2 linked regions of the Pelodiscus sinensis genome follow. The protein of the gene in region 1 interacts with the protein of each later gene in a biochemical or structural test. Links are inferred from orthologs where the notes say so. Each region holds a gene or a part of one and is shown in the gene's direction. Other genes may lie near its edges.

Region 1 (7,807 bases):
GCTTCAGTAGCTAGCTTTAATTTTTGTGATGATTGTAAAACATGAGTTAAATCTAAGAAAATGGTCGTGCATTTTTTTTCTGTTTTTTCCTGGGTTTAGTGTTTTGTTTTTTTTCTTCTTCTTTTTTTCCATACAGTCCACCTTGGCCCACACTCCTTATCAGCCCTCATCCCTTCTGTATAGTCAAACACCCTCCTTCCCCCATTTTAATTAGTGGGGAAAACACTGTTCCTGTCAGATTTCCAAATCATTTCAGCATACTTTAATTAGGAATGTGAAGGACTAATCGATTATCTGATAGCAAATGCTTATCGGATAACCAACAGGATAGTTCATTAGTCATTTCCCCAACCCTTGCTACTTGGGAAGGGAGGTAGTTCAAAGCAGCAGCCCTGCACAGAGCCTAGGGTCAGCTGCTCTGTGTGGCGCTGCCACTTTGAATGCTGTGAGGAGCCAGGATCCCCGTGGCATTTCAAAGTGGCAGCGCTGCGTGGAGCCCAAGATCCCCAGCTGACCCCGGGCTTCGGTGCTTTCACTTTTGAAGTGTAGCAACAGCTTAGAGCTCTTGCTACACTTCAAAGGTGGAGGCACCCTATTGACTAATCAAATAGACAATGCAAAAATGCATCGACTATTCGATAGTCAATTACATCCTTAACATCCTTAATTTTAATGACAAAAATGAGGTTTACTGCTATAAGTACTATGGAGATGATACAGCTAGGAGAGGACAAGCTGAGTTCTAAGTTAACTCTTATATCCTAATCAGAATTAATAAGGAACCCAATACTGCTCCCACTGGAGTCATGTGAAAATAAGCAGACTTCGGTGGGGAACAGGGTCAGACTCCAAGATTCATTTGCAGAACTCTTGTAGTGTTATATGACAGCCAGAACAGCTTAACTGTGATACAAGATCGAGTTTACTGTTTTAAAACAAAAAACTCAATCTGGTTATATGGAATGAACAAGCCTGATGTGGAAGCTGTTGAGAGAATTATTAAGCCATTTTTAATGTCTTTTCAGGATATAACCACTACTGGATTATCAACTAGAGGTTTCTAGTTTCTAGATATTATTTTAGTTAAGCAAGTGAAAAAATTACTATAACATATGTGGAGTGTGTGCAAGGGGATGAGTGTATATGGGGGCTGTCATGCTTATATAATACAAGATTAGCTAAACTGCTTTTGGTCAAACTTAAACACTTAATTAAGCTGCAACCAAACAGTATTTTTTCTGGATGAAACTTTCCATATGCATCATGAAAGGAGAATTAGAAATTAAACTGCATTTCTAAACAAGGTATCAATTGCATTAGCAAAGGCTACAATGTATTTTTATTTTGTCTGGGTTCAGAAAGTCATTGGCTGTTTTCTTGTCCTTTTTTCTTGTCAGTCTGAACTTTCAAATAGAAAAAAAATACAAAAAAATCTCACCAGAGGAAGCAAACTTGTTGAGATGTAATTGTTAGTTATTTTTTCTGACCACAACTTTAAAAAGGAAGCCATGTTTGAAGAAAATATTTTTAAAGTTCTTAATGCTGAAGTGAACAATTTTACACATGCACTTACATTATTTTCTATTGCTTTGTTAGGCTGCAATACATAGAAGTAGCTACTGTTCACTACTATGTAACTTAGCTTAAGCAACTTTTCCATTTAGGGTGCATCTACACCACACTCTTACCTCAAAATATGCTACATAATTTGCTTACATAATTTCTGAATAAACTGCTATTCCAACAAGTCCCGTATCCCTCATGGAACAACGGTTACAGGGACACTGGAATAGCATGCCTGTTGTTAACAAATTTATTTTGTTTAAACATTACATAAGAGGAGTAGACAAAGCCTGGCATTGCCTGCAACTCTCTGTAGTTGAAAATCCCACCTTCCAAAAATGGGATATTACCTTGGTCTTGCAGTCACACACTTGAATCCTGAGGTAATAATCAGTAGCTCCACACTAAGGGTGTGTCTAGACTACATGCCTCCTTCGACAGAGGCATGTAGATTAGCCAGATCGGAAGAGGGAAATGAAGCCGCGATTAAAATAATCGCGGCTTCATTTAAATTTAAATGGCTGCCCCGATCTGCCGATCAGATGTTTGTCGGCAGATCGGGGGAGTCTGGACGCGATGCCCCGACAAAGAAGCCTTTCTTCATCGACACAGGTAAGCCTCGTGAAACCAGGCTTACCTGTGTCGATGAAGAAAGGCTTCTTTGTCGGGGCATCGCGTCCAGACTCCCCCGATCTGCCGACAAACAGCTGATCGGCAGATCGGGGCAGCCATTTAAATTTAAATGAAGCCGCGATTATTTTAATCGCGGCTTCATTTCCCTCTTCCGATCTGGCTAATCTACATGCCTCCGTCGAAGGAGGCATGTAGTCTAGACACACCCTAAGGATGCTCAGTTGCTTTGGAAAAGGTAAAGGGCTCACTGTCTCCCACAACTTCCCATATGGTTTGCATCTGAGGCTGGGTTGCAGAGTCCCCTTACATGACCAGGAAGATACTAGCAGAAGTCACCTTGCTCACTGAGGGTATGTCTACAGTGCAGGGTAAAGTCGAATTAAGATACACAACTTTAGCTATGTCAATTGTGTAGCTGAAGTCAAAATAGCTTAATTTGGCTTTTGGTGCTGTCTACACAGCCAGAAGTCAAAGGAAGAACACACTTCCTTTGATTTTCCTTACTCCTCATAAAATGAGGGTTACAGGAGTCAGACTAAGAAGTCCTCCAGTTTGACATTATTTTGAAATAATGGCTTGCTGTGTAGGTGCTCACTTTGTTATTTCAAAATAACATCAGTTATGCCAAAATAATGCTGCTGTGTAGATGTACTCTGAGTAACAGTGTTCTAGGGAGACAGGGAGATGGCTGGACCGTGTCTAGAGAAAAATGGCCTAGCCTGCTGGAAGAATGGGAGATTAGCAGAGGTTGGTAAGGAGGAGCCTGAGCCCAACTAAATTTAGGAAGAAATTGAGGGGTAAGAATTGAAGACTGTGAAAGTAAAGGCTTGATGGATTGTTTGGGGAGGGTGAAGAAAAGTAGGAAGTACTGCAGTGGGGTATCTTCTTTGAAAGAGGCCATTCATAAATTATTTCACTCTCCGAGGGAGAAGACATATTACAGATGTGATTTATCAGGATGAGAAAAGAGCAGAGGAGAAGCGTAAGAGGTAAGGGACAGATGGAGAAAGTCAACTGTGAATATACATAACTTTCTGCACATATTAGTTTTATGTATATCGGTTTACACTTTTTGAGGCGCCAATGTGGGTAGGTTTGTGGTGGAATTTAGCAGTTCTACCAATTTATACAAATGGTATAAAGGCATCATGCAAAATAGCAGTCTCCTGAGTTATGTCCTGACTAATTTTCACTGTTCCTGGTGACAGGCAGGTAGGATTGCTAATTTTGGTTTGATGTATTCCTGAAGGCTTCATCATGAGACATAAATTATAATTAAAGATTAATCTGTAATTCCTGGAGATTCTGGAGTTTGGCACCTCTGCTGGGCTCTGCTGATTCCCACTGCATATCTTCCTTGAAAGCTGAAGAAGAGGCAGCTATGCAGAATATTTTGAGAAATCTCAGTGAGTGGGAGGAAGGAACACATCAAGCTGTGAGAACTGTATGGGTAGTGAGATATTTGTTATTAAATATGTGGCGATGTGAGAGCTCCAAGTAATCACACTTGGGTGCTGCCTTCACGGGAGAGAAAAAGTGAGCTTGTGTGAAATTACAGACTGGCTTGCCTTCACTTGGCCTTCATCTTGCCTTAATTAACTCGGCTCAACACATCTTCTTTGTCCCTGGGTGGGGAGAAGATTGTGGGGGAGTTGATAGCGGAGGCAGCAAGGGAGTTAACTATGAATGTGTTTAGAGATATAGATGCCTGTGACTAACCTCCAACTGTCTTGTAATTATAGGAGCTTTTTTTTAATATACTGTACCTCAGGCTAGTAATAGTATGGGCTCAATAGTAAATGTATAAAAGGTGCTTTATAGATATCTTGAAAGGCTGCATGCTCTGTCTCCTGCCTCTCCAAAAGGAAATCAGACTCCAATGGAGCGTGGAATGAGACCTTGCTGGCGTACAGACTTTCCTACATGCGACTGCTTCAGGCTTCCTTGCACTGAATCTCTTCCTGTGCTTTTAATTCGGTGACAGGTTGGAGGCATGCAGAGTGGGGCGCGGCTGTATCGGAGGACATAGCACTGGTGTATGCTTGCAGGATGGGCTGCACTTGCATGAGGGAAAGCGGGTACAGCGACCGTAGCAGAGCTAGCGCTGTGGTGCTGGAGACCGGTGCGAGCGGAATCCCGCGTGTATAACTCGCGTAGCCCTACAAGACACCACCCCGAGCCATACAATGCGAGCAGCGCACATCGACTCACTAGAGCGACTTCCCGAAAAAGGAGCACGCGCAGAGAGCGTGTGGAAGCTGGTGAGTAACACATGCGCACCGCAGAGAAGGGAAATCAATCCGAACGAGTAGCGCGAAGCATGCGCATGCGGGCCCCGTCTGGCCCTGCGCTAAGGGGAGTTCAATTAGTTATTTACGGTAACAAAAGTCGAATGAATTTAGACCCTCTGCTGTACCCGTAGTCTGGACTGTACCAAACCGGCCGGGGGAGAGGTGCATCGCGCCCAGCCCTGGCTGTTCGCCTAGTGCCACTGGGCAAGCGCCAGCCGTGGCCGGTTGTGCGATTTGAAGCGCACGCAGCGGGGGCGGGTGAGTATCAGGCAGGCCCGGAGCGCGCTGGGGCCGGAGTGAGGGAGGTGCCCCTCCCCCCGCGGTCTGCAGCGCAGTGGCGGCGCCGGCGGAGAGACGGGGGCCGCGGCCGGGGAATGGCAGCGGTGTGAGGAGGGCGAGCGGGGCAGGGACTGCAGCCTCAGGACGCGAAGGGAGGGGGGCCGGCTCCGCTGAATCCGGCCTGTGCTGACAGGTAGCCGCGCGCTGCAGGCGCCTCCGGCCCGGTAGCGAACGCCGCGGGGAAGCGGAGCGGGGGCTTCCCCGGGCTCCGAGCGGGCTTGACCTCCCCGCGCAGGGCCTGCTGGGCCGGGCCCCTCGGGGAGGCGGGGGGTGTTAGCGGCCGCCGAGCGCCTGCCGGCCCTGCCTGCGCCCCACATCCTCTCGCCCTCGTGACGGGTTTTGTTCTCCCCACGCTGCGCCGCCGGGTTGAGGTCCCGGCCATGTTGGGCTCCCCGCGCCCGTCCTGAGCTCTGTGCCTCGCAGGCCCCGGTATCTCTCCCCCTCCACCGCGCCCCGGGAGCGTTACCCCCTCGCGCCAGTTTCGCTTTTGCTTTGTGAGTGACTAATATGGGTGCGAAGGGGCAGGGAGGTGAGAGACCCGCAGCTGTAGTGGGTGGGGCGGCAGGGGCTGCTCCCCCTGCTCGGTTCTGCTCCTCGGCGATTTTCAGGGCCCTGGTTGCTGGACTTGACTAATTAAATTATTTTCGATATTCTAACTTTAGTGCCCCACTCTCCCCGGTCGTCCCCTTCTCCCCTCCCCCCCCCCACTTCTTTTCCTGGCTGCCACCCAGCACTCCACCCTTGTGAAAGCAAAAAACACATAACATATGTCTGTAGAACTATTGGGGTCTTTGTATGTTCGTGAAACCTACGCTTGCTGGTTCCTCTAATTCAAATAGGGTATCTGGGGATGGGAACCAAAGGATAAGAAAACCAATGGCTATGTAAGAGGGGTAGCTGTGTTAGTTGGTTTCTGCAAAACCACCAAGGAGTCCTGCAGCACCTTATGCTAAAAAAATTGTTTTTCTTTAAGTTAAGTGTAGATCTTTGTCATTGATACAGCTTGGTCTGAAGTAAGCTGTACTAGTCTAAGTTGCTTTTTATATTAGTGCAGTGTGTCCACATTGTAGCTACTCTTAAAGAGCAGAGAAATTCTGCTTAGGTCTCATCAAAAAAGTGTTCCCACTCTTTCTAGTGTAAGTGTGTGCTTTATCCTTTTAGGTAAAGATTAGTTGTATTTGTTGGTTGCCAAAGACATGCTTTATTGTAGTTTGTTTCCTAGCTTCTTCTACTGGAGTTCATCCTCCCGTTGGAATAGATAAGCCTCAAATCTCTTCCTTTCCTGGGATTCATTATAAATTGTTGCCATTTGTGTGAATTCATGTTAACAGTAACAACCTTCTATGTGGAAAACACTTTTTCTTTAAACATCCCAGTGTACACTTGATGAATGTTTCTACTAAAATGAAAATACTAACACACAACAATGATGTATTAGTAGTAATAACATGGCTTTTTAGAGAGAGTATCCTGATTTAACTTGATATTCTCATCTGTATAATTGTCAAGTACTACTCAGAATCCTAATAAGATGAGTTCCATAAGCCAATTTTTTTAATATAAATATATTTTTCTCTTGGTTCAGAATTTGTTGCCTTGAAATTTTATTAAAAATTCCAGTTGTTTTTGTGTGAGAAGGTAAATAGAAATGCCCAGTCCACCGTCTCTTAATGCATTTTTCTGCTTTGTGTCCTCTTCAGACTACACAGATGTAATATTTGCAGTCTTTTATATGCAAGCTTTTTTCATGCTTCTAAACACCATCTATTTCCATTATATCCATTTTAGAGAAAGTGGCCAATGCTGAATACGGTATCCTAAGTGAAGGTATGCTCTCGTCTCTGTAATGGTTTTTATATTATACATCTAAACACTGACTGTGGTTGATTTTGCACGTAGAAATATGTTGATTATTAAACGTTTTAGTTTTTATAATTTTATGCATTTGTCAGCATTTTATCAATTTCAACAGTATTGTTGGATGGTTAGGTGCTCTTGTCCCATGCACTTCTGTATTGGGAGTTAATGTGTACAGTCTTTCCTGTGCCCTGCTCTTGGCTGAGTTTGGAACTCAGAAGGGGTTGACTTTTATTTAAAGATATCTGGATCTTTGCTTCCTTGTATAGGACAGGCTTTACCATACCTACTTCTGAGATTTTTTTTTTTTTTGACCCTTTGAAGCACTGATGTTACCTTTATTTTGGGTCAACTGTCAATTGCCTTATTTCTGTTACTTTCAAGCAGTCCCTGCTGACCGCAGATTGTTTGGAAGTTGTATAGGAGCCCTATGTAACTCTGTAATCCACTGGGCTAGGAAACATTCATATGTGGGGGGAGGGGAAGCAAGATTTTGCTGAAGTACAGGACACACTTAGGCTATGTCTACACTTTCGGCTTCTTGCGCGAGTAATATGCAAATGAGGCTAAGCGTGGAATATCACCGAGCCTCATTTGCGTACCTAATGAGCAACCATTTTTTCAGAAGAGGCTCTTGTGCAAGAAGGAGCATTTACACTGCCCCTTCTTGCGCTAGAAAAACCCTCTTGCACAATGCCGTTTCACGTATTTCTTGCACAATGCCATTCCTGAAAAGTAATACGTGTAACGGCATTGCGCAAGAGGGTTTTTCTTGCGCAAGAAGGGGCAGTGTAAATGCTCCTTCTTGCACAAGAGCCTCTTCGGGCAGGGGGGAGGAAGGTGGCTCATTAGGTATGCAAATGAGGCTCGGCAATATTCCACGCTTAGCCTCATTTTCATATTACTCGCGCAAGAAGCCGCAGGTGTAGACATAGCCTTAGGGTACTTTTCAGCCAGTAGTAAATACTTCAGAAGATAACAGCGGTTACTAGCTAGTAGGTGAGTGTGCTGACACATGCAGTGAATTCCTACGTTATCGGGCTAGTACCCTTCAAGTTGAGCAGCTTTGTCATAAATCAGTGGTCCCCAATGTTTTGGGGCTGCCGGGCACCTGGGGGCGGGGC
Region 2 (7,224 bases), on another chromosome or scaffold:
AAACATCATCTATTGACTTTAATTATCAAATCTATCAACTAGGGATGTTAGATAGCATGTAATTAACTAGTCCTGTAACTGCATCAAATTTTAGCAGTTATGTGACTATTTGATTGATAGTTCCTGAGGCAGGGCCAGCAGCCAGTGTGCTCTCAGCCTCCTGTGCTCCTGCCCCTCTATTAGAGGCAGCAGCCCCTGTCTGTGGGGCGGTAGGAAGGAGGGGGCAAAGCTCCCCACAAATAGAGGCTGCTGCTGCAGAAGCTTCCCATCCCTCCCTCCCTCATCCCATTAGAGGCAGTAGCGCAGGGCAGGAAGATGGCAACAGCTCCTGCCTCCCTTCCTCTGCCCCACACTGCCTCTGTAGGAGGCAGCAAGGGGGGGACAGGCACATATGTGAAGCAGGCTCACATGGAGAGCTGCTTATAAGCTGACTCCCTGCACATATTGGTTCCTGCCTGCTCCCCTCATCCTCTGTGCTGCTGCCTCTCTATTAGAGGCAGCAGCATGGCAGGGAGGGGAGAGACACTGGCTCCCACCTCCCCTCCTCTCTAATATAGAGGCAGCAGATGGGGGAAATGCATGTAGTCAAACCTGGGCTTCTTGGTTAATCCTGTTATCAGTTAATCGTGTAGTAATCTACACGTTGACATCCCTACTATCAACATATACCTAGGATTTTAAGAAAAGTAGAATTTTAATAAGGGAAAATAGAAACATTACCAATCGATCTCTTCTACATCCTTTTTAACTTGGATGCTCATTAATACTGCACAAACTTGATTAGGTGCTGACACCATATTTGTTTGACAGGGGAATAAAACTCTGTAGGGAACAGTTTAAAACAGCAACTGTGATGCAATCAAATATAATGTTGACACTGAAGTGCAGCATAGCTCCTCTTTCACATCATCAGCTATTTGACTGTTTGCTACTGGCAAGGAGTTCTGAATAGGATACATTATTTGACAATGCCTATTATGAAAATAACTTATTTCAACCACCTATACAATACTATTTCTATCCAGTTTGAATGCAATAGTGTGTTGTACCACTGTAATTCTAATACCATTCTTGGGCTATTGCTCACTACAATGCTTGCATTTTATATCAAGCTTTTTTTATTTTAGAGAACACTGATAACACTTAGCTAACACAGAGCCAGTTTCTCTCCAGCTGGCAAATGTGACATGAAATCATTCACTCAGTTTCACAGCTATCCATAGTAACTAAGTCACTCAAACAAATCCATCCCTGGTGTAAGCATATTGAAATGAAGATCCTGGATTTATATAAGGATTGAACTGGGCTCATAATTTCCATAAGGGTCAACAGCTGCAAAAGCTGGCTCCTGTGAGGTGGTGTCATGAGGAGAGATCAAGGATTCTTGGGATGGCTAAAAAGATGACATTCTCCAATTATATTAAAATCTTAGAATCCAACATTCACTTCCTACGTTCCATCTCACACAAATTAAACAGATTTAGCGCCTCCCCTCCAATTTTTTGCATTATGAACACTGTAGAATAGCTACACTGCAAATGACTGCATCAGTTAGGTATACACAATACATTTAGCTGGCAACTCGCATGGATTTTCACTTTTGAAAGGTCTTACTCCTTCAGCTGTGGATACAATTTTTTGCTTTGTTAACCTCCAAATCTATAGTAAAATTCAAAGCTGCCAAGAATAGTGAAAGACCACTTAGCAAAATAAAGTGAAAATGAAATAAAACCAAAGGCCTAAATCCACCCCTACTGTAATCCCATTTTTTTTTTTATCAATGGTATAACTCTGTTGACTTCAGTGGAGTTACTCCAGAGATGAAATGACCCAAAAGTTTATCACTGTTTCTATCTACAATCATAAATGTGTGCTTTTTCAGTAAAAGTAGCCCAAGAAACCAGTCTGTAATGAAAGTTGGAACAAGGGGAGTTTTGCCTGGTTTCGAATTCTGTTACAGAAGTTTCAGCTTTAAAACAACTGTTAACCCAGTTGGTACTCAACACCTCTGAGCTACTCACACACTCAATGCACTTGGAATTCCCATTGACTTTAGTGGGAATTCTAAGGGGTAAGTGAAGAGAGGGCCACATGCAACATTGAGTCCTCCAAGATCAAACTTTTGTTTCTTTAATTTTCATTTAAGTATTGAGTAAAGTATCGACCAGAAAGTATAATGAATACTGAAAGCAAGAAGACAGTTCAATTTGTAAATCAATGGCTTAGATTTTATCACTGGCTTTCCATATAAGTTCATTCACATGGAAAGAACCAAGAACTGATTCTCCACACATGTGGCAGTAACCACATTGTGACATGGCTTTGATGCAGCATTACATGTGAATAAATGGAAAAGATCTAGTCCATGGCTAATTCTATACAGTAAAATAGTTTTGAGTTTGCTAGCACAGGATTGTGAATGCTTTGCCTAGTTTAAGCAGCACATATGGTCCTGCATCCTAACTTACGTTTTCTAATAATAAGTGAAAGACTGAAGAGTAAAATCCTTATTTGGGCTATTATAAGGGAAGGACTCTTATTGCTTCAAATATTTCTTAACCCTCTCTGGACACTGAAAACATTCAATGACCATAAGCAGTCAAGGCCAATATTGATTTAACTTTGCTACCAATACAAAAAGAGCATAGGCTTGTTTTCTGGACTGTTAATATTTTCCTCCTCTCCTACTCTGTTTGGGTCTTCATGCTCAGAGAAGAGAGTTTTAATGTTGTGTGGCAAATTTAGCCCAGGTAATAAAATCTCAACTTTCTTATACAATAGAGGCATCTACAAATATGATGTTAACATGAAGTATGGATTTTGCACCTTATTTGCTTCTTGGCTCTAAGCCAAATGCAACTGAACACATGAAAAAAAATAATGTAGATTTCCCAACACTGGAACAGTTCCTAAACACAAGAATAGGTATAAATATTAATGCAGTACAGCAAGGCATAGGGCTGTTTTTAACTTTGTGGCTCATTTTAGTAAGTGAGATTCTGTCATGCTCTACCTCCTCTCCCATCCCTCACTGTTGGTTTTCAAAATGTTTCATTCCACATGCAATCACGTGCTCTAGAGACTACTGTTGGCTCATGGCCCACAATAAAAGAGCCACAGCACTTGAGAATGTTTTAAAAGATTAAATATATGCATTCAATTCTAATGTTTCAAAGGGGGAGGGGGATTCCCACTTTCATTTTCACGGAAGAGCAGAGCTGGCCCAAGAACTACTTTCTGGGACCCTGACTGGAAGTATGACTCAGTGGTAGGGCTGCCAGATGGTTTCAACAAAAATACCAGACACGCTTGTCATTGCTTCTTATTTAGAAAATACCGGACATTTACATTTTCTCAATTTGTTTCCCGGAACAGAAAGCTCAAATACTGGACTGTCTGGTTCAAAACCGGACACCTGGCAGCCCTACATGGGTGTAGGTGTATCCAGGCCGGGAAGTTGCCCGCAGGGGATGTGCTGAGGGCCGCAGCCGGGACCAAAGAGGAAAAGGAGGCCCTGTGTAGTGTGGGGACCCTCCAGGGGCAAGCGCCCAGGTTCACAGGGTGGGACCACGAGCCCTGGGCTGGGACGAATCCCCAGGGGGATGTTCGCGGGAAGCCTGCCCGTGGCTGCAGGAGCCCTGCGTTGCCAGGATGGGAGTCTCTAAGCACCGGGTGCTCGCTGCCCCGGGGACCCGCTGGCAGGCGAGGGGCCCGCTCTGCGGTGAGGGGCGCGGCGCGGGACTGCTCGGAGCTCGCGGGGCGGCTGCCCAACTTTCCTGGCTGCGGGGGGGGGGGGGGAACCTGCAGCAGCGAGCAGGGCCGGAGCGAGCCCTTGATGTGACACTTGCAAAGAGGCGGCGCCCAGCCCTGCGCCAGGGCGGCCCCCTCAGCGCCCCCGGACGGTCAGGGCAGCACCGCCACCACCGGCTACTCGCCTACAAGCTGGACTGTACCAATGTGAGAGCCGGGGGAGGTGGCAACACGAGTCCTCCAAATCCCAGTTTAGGTCATCTTTGCATACCAACATCGACCTCTTTCCCCTCTATCTGCCTCTCCCTCTTTACCTTCAGGGCCAAGCGCCCTACAGCCCTCCTCACAGTTTCCCCCCTTTCCTTGCGTAATGGTTCGCTCCAACCTACTCCAGTCGCCACTCAACCCGGTTGGGGGCGGGAGCGGTTTCTTGCCCGCTTTTTCCCTCACTGTACGTGCAGCGTCGGGCACGCCGGGACGCTCTTCTGCGTGACGACGCCTCACGCATCCAGCTGACGCTTCACCCCCGGAAGTGATGCAGAGGAGGGAGGGGGTCGAAGCTGAGTCTGGTTGGGAGCTGCCGAGGGTGAGTGAATTGGACCTTCTCACTTCCCGTCCGTTTCAGGGAGGCTTTGCCTGTGCTGGGCTGTGGGGGGCCAGGAGGGGTAGGGGGGCCGTGTAGGGAGATAATAGGGCTGGGAAAAAGCATCATCCTAAGTGCCCCGGCTCATAAACCAGACTCTCCAGCCCCTGCGTGGGGGGGAGGGTCTTTGCCCCCTGAGGGGGAGGCTGTGGGGTCCCTGCCCCCCGAGAGAGAGAGCGGGAGGAAGCTGCGGGGTCTCTGTGCCGCTTACGGGGTGCTGGTGGGGCGGAGTGTATCCGCATCTCTTAAAGGATGGACCGGGCTGGTGGGGAGGGTCCTATGTCCATCCCTTTGCCGTCTGAGTGGGTGGAGGGTTACAGGGTTCTCTACCCTGAAGCTCCTCTAACAGGTACTCACGCTACTGCCCTGATAACAAGTAGTTCCTCCGCATACCGTACCCCCGCCACGCACCTCTCTCAGCGGTATGGGTGCAGCGGTTTCAGGGTTAGACTTTAAACAGACGCTTCCTCTGGAACTGTTGGAAGTTATCGGAGTCAGCAGTGAAAGAAGAGATCGTGTGGTATTTATGTTAGATAAAGGGTGGGAGGATTTAGTTTTGTGGTGTTGTAATGTAACATTTCACTCCAATGTGCTTTTTCATCTTTTATGTATATGATTCTCCTACTATTTGAGCAGCGTAAAAGAAGCATAGTTCTCTAGCCCCAAGAGGATTACTGATTAAGTCATCGTATCTGTATCTGTGGAAATGATGATATTATGTTGGTAGTTCTATGTTCAAGGATGCTAAAATGTCTTTCTATAAATTATCCACATCATTAATGAACAATAACCAACCACCTAGAGTGAAGGGTGGCTGCCAGCTGGCTCATAAACACACACTAGAAAGGTATTCTTTTAAACATATTTTGCAATCATCTAATGCTAAATGATGTGTGTATATACATCTTCATAGTGTATGTTAGAAAGTACATGTGGGTGAAGTTAGTCTTCTTTTCATTATTTGAAAATGCTGACCTAACCCATGCAGGTTTTTAGTATTCCATATATATCACGTGTGTATTTAAATTAATCATGGAAGCTGCAAATGTGTCCCAATCACTCCTATTGTTTAGGTTATGTAGACACTGTTATAAGTAATATTAATAACAATGTTGGAGTAACTTGTGTAAACGATGTTGAAGCAAACATTAGTTGAAAAGACCGTTTCTTTCCTATTACTATTATTGAAAGGAATACTTTGGGTTTCTTTATATAATATAGCTAAAACTATTAATGCTATGTTTTATAAAACAAATGGGTACCTATGGCAACATAGCTGTTTTGCAGAATATTCTTCTAAATTAATTATTCTCCCTTTAGGGTATGGTGTAAGTTGTAACAAAAGTGAAAATTGCCAATGAGTTACCATATTGCAATACTCGATATTTTGCTCTTAAGTAAGAACTTCAGGTTAAGCCAGTACTATTGAAGAGAATGGTCAGATGAGGAAAATGGTCAGGTGATGTCTATTTTCTAAATATAACTTTCTAGTATCTAGTTTAGAATCTCCATGTTAAACATTTAATACATTGTTAGTAGTTGTTAATATTTGACGTGGGCTAATGTTGAACGTTTGTGCACCTTAACTCTAATAAAGGCTTTGCTGGGTGTCTGATCACTCACTTTCCAGGTACTTAAGAATAGTGGAAGGATGGTCTCTTGGCTAACTCATAGAGCTGAGAGTCATGAGATCTGATCTTGGCTCTGTTTTTGTTTTGTTTTTTTAAACTCAAGTGTACTGTAAGGCTTAAGTAATGGTCTGTGAAGAGCATTTATAATTCTTCAGATGAAAGGCAACATGCAGTAGGCAACTACATATCGGTATCATAGGGGGAAAAGAGTTACAAAGACAGTACAGTTCTTCATTTGTGTTGACAGACACAATCTAATTCCAGTGCAAATAATGTTAGAAACTTGTTGGAAAGTTCAAGTTATGCAGTATTTTTTTATTCTAATAATTTATTCATAGTTAATATTGAGTTAGAGCTCAACCTTCGTAAGTTTGTTTAAAGATGCTGGGATAGTAGGGGTATATGTGTATCAGTAAGGGTATGTCTACGCAGCAGCGTTATTTCAGAATAACTGACATTATTTTGGAATAACAAAGTGTGTCTACACTGCAAGCCATTATTTGAAATAATGGCAAGCTGGAGGACTTCTTATTCCAACTCCTGTAACCCTCATTTTATGAGGAGTAAGGGAAGTTGAAGGAAGAGTGTTCTTCCTTAGACTTCCTGCTGTGTAAACCGTGCCAAAAGCCGATTTAAGTTATTTCGACTTCTGCTACATCAATTGCATAGCTTAAGTTGCATAGCTTAATTCAACTTTAGCCCTGCTGTGTAGATGTACCCTAATATTCCTTGATAGCTCAACTTGATGCTCTTGTGATTCCTTTACTCTTGAGCCTGATAACCTATATGATCTCTAATTTGCCACTAGATCCCAGAAATGGGGGGGTTGGAGGCCTATAGAGTGCAGGTATTTAGCATTAGCTCTTAGTTAAGTGTTATTCCTGATAAACTTGGCTGATGTGTTCAGTCTGTGATAGTAGCAGTAGTTTTTATATCATTGGATTTTTGTATAGATTTTTTTTTTAAACAAATTTTTCTAACAGCACTTTGGTGCTGTGACTTTAAGCACTTAACATGAAGAAGGGCAACAATATCAGTAACAGGGAAAGAGGGTGGTTTCGATAACAAAATCTAGGGCAGCTACTTCTGTAAGCCTGGGAGGGGGAAGAAGATTACTTACTGTCCAAAGGATAGAGGCTGCCAGACTATTTGGCAGGCTGAAATACAAACGACATCCCCACACCTATTCTCACCTCTCTT

What was found.
Region 2: of the proteins of CUL2 (region 1) and DCUN1D3, one has a biochemical effect on the other in vitro, tested with the Homo sapiens proteins (2 studies listed by BioGRID, with this or other methods). The link is inferred for Pelodiscus sinensis from reciprocal best matches to the Homo sapiens genes CUL2 and DCUN1D3.

What each region holds. Positions count from the first base shown.
Region 1 is NC_134712.1:231,951,316-231,959,122, reverse strand, and holds the start of CUL2 (cullin-2), read left to right. Parts: upstream 1-4,800; 5' UTR 4,801-4,959; intron 4,960-6,614; 5' UTR 6,615-6,653; intron 6,654-7,807.
Region 2 is NC_134726.1:22,096,627-22,103,850, reverse strand, and holds the start of DCUN1D3 (DCN1-like protein 3), read left to right. Parts: upstream 1-4,222; 5' UTR 4,223-4,336; intron 4,337-4,372; exon of another isoform or gene 4,373-5,240; intron 5,241-7,224. UniProt on the Homo sapiens protein: Contributes to the neddylation of all cullins by transferring NEDD8 from N-terminally acetylated NEDD8-conjugating E2s enzyme to different cullin C-terminal domain-RBX complexes and may play a role in the cell cycle progression by regulating the SCF ubiquitin E3 ligase complex, after UV damage.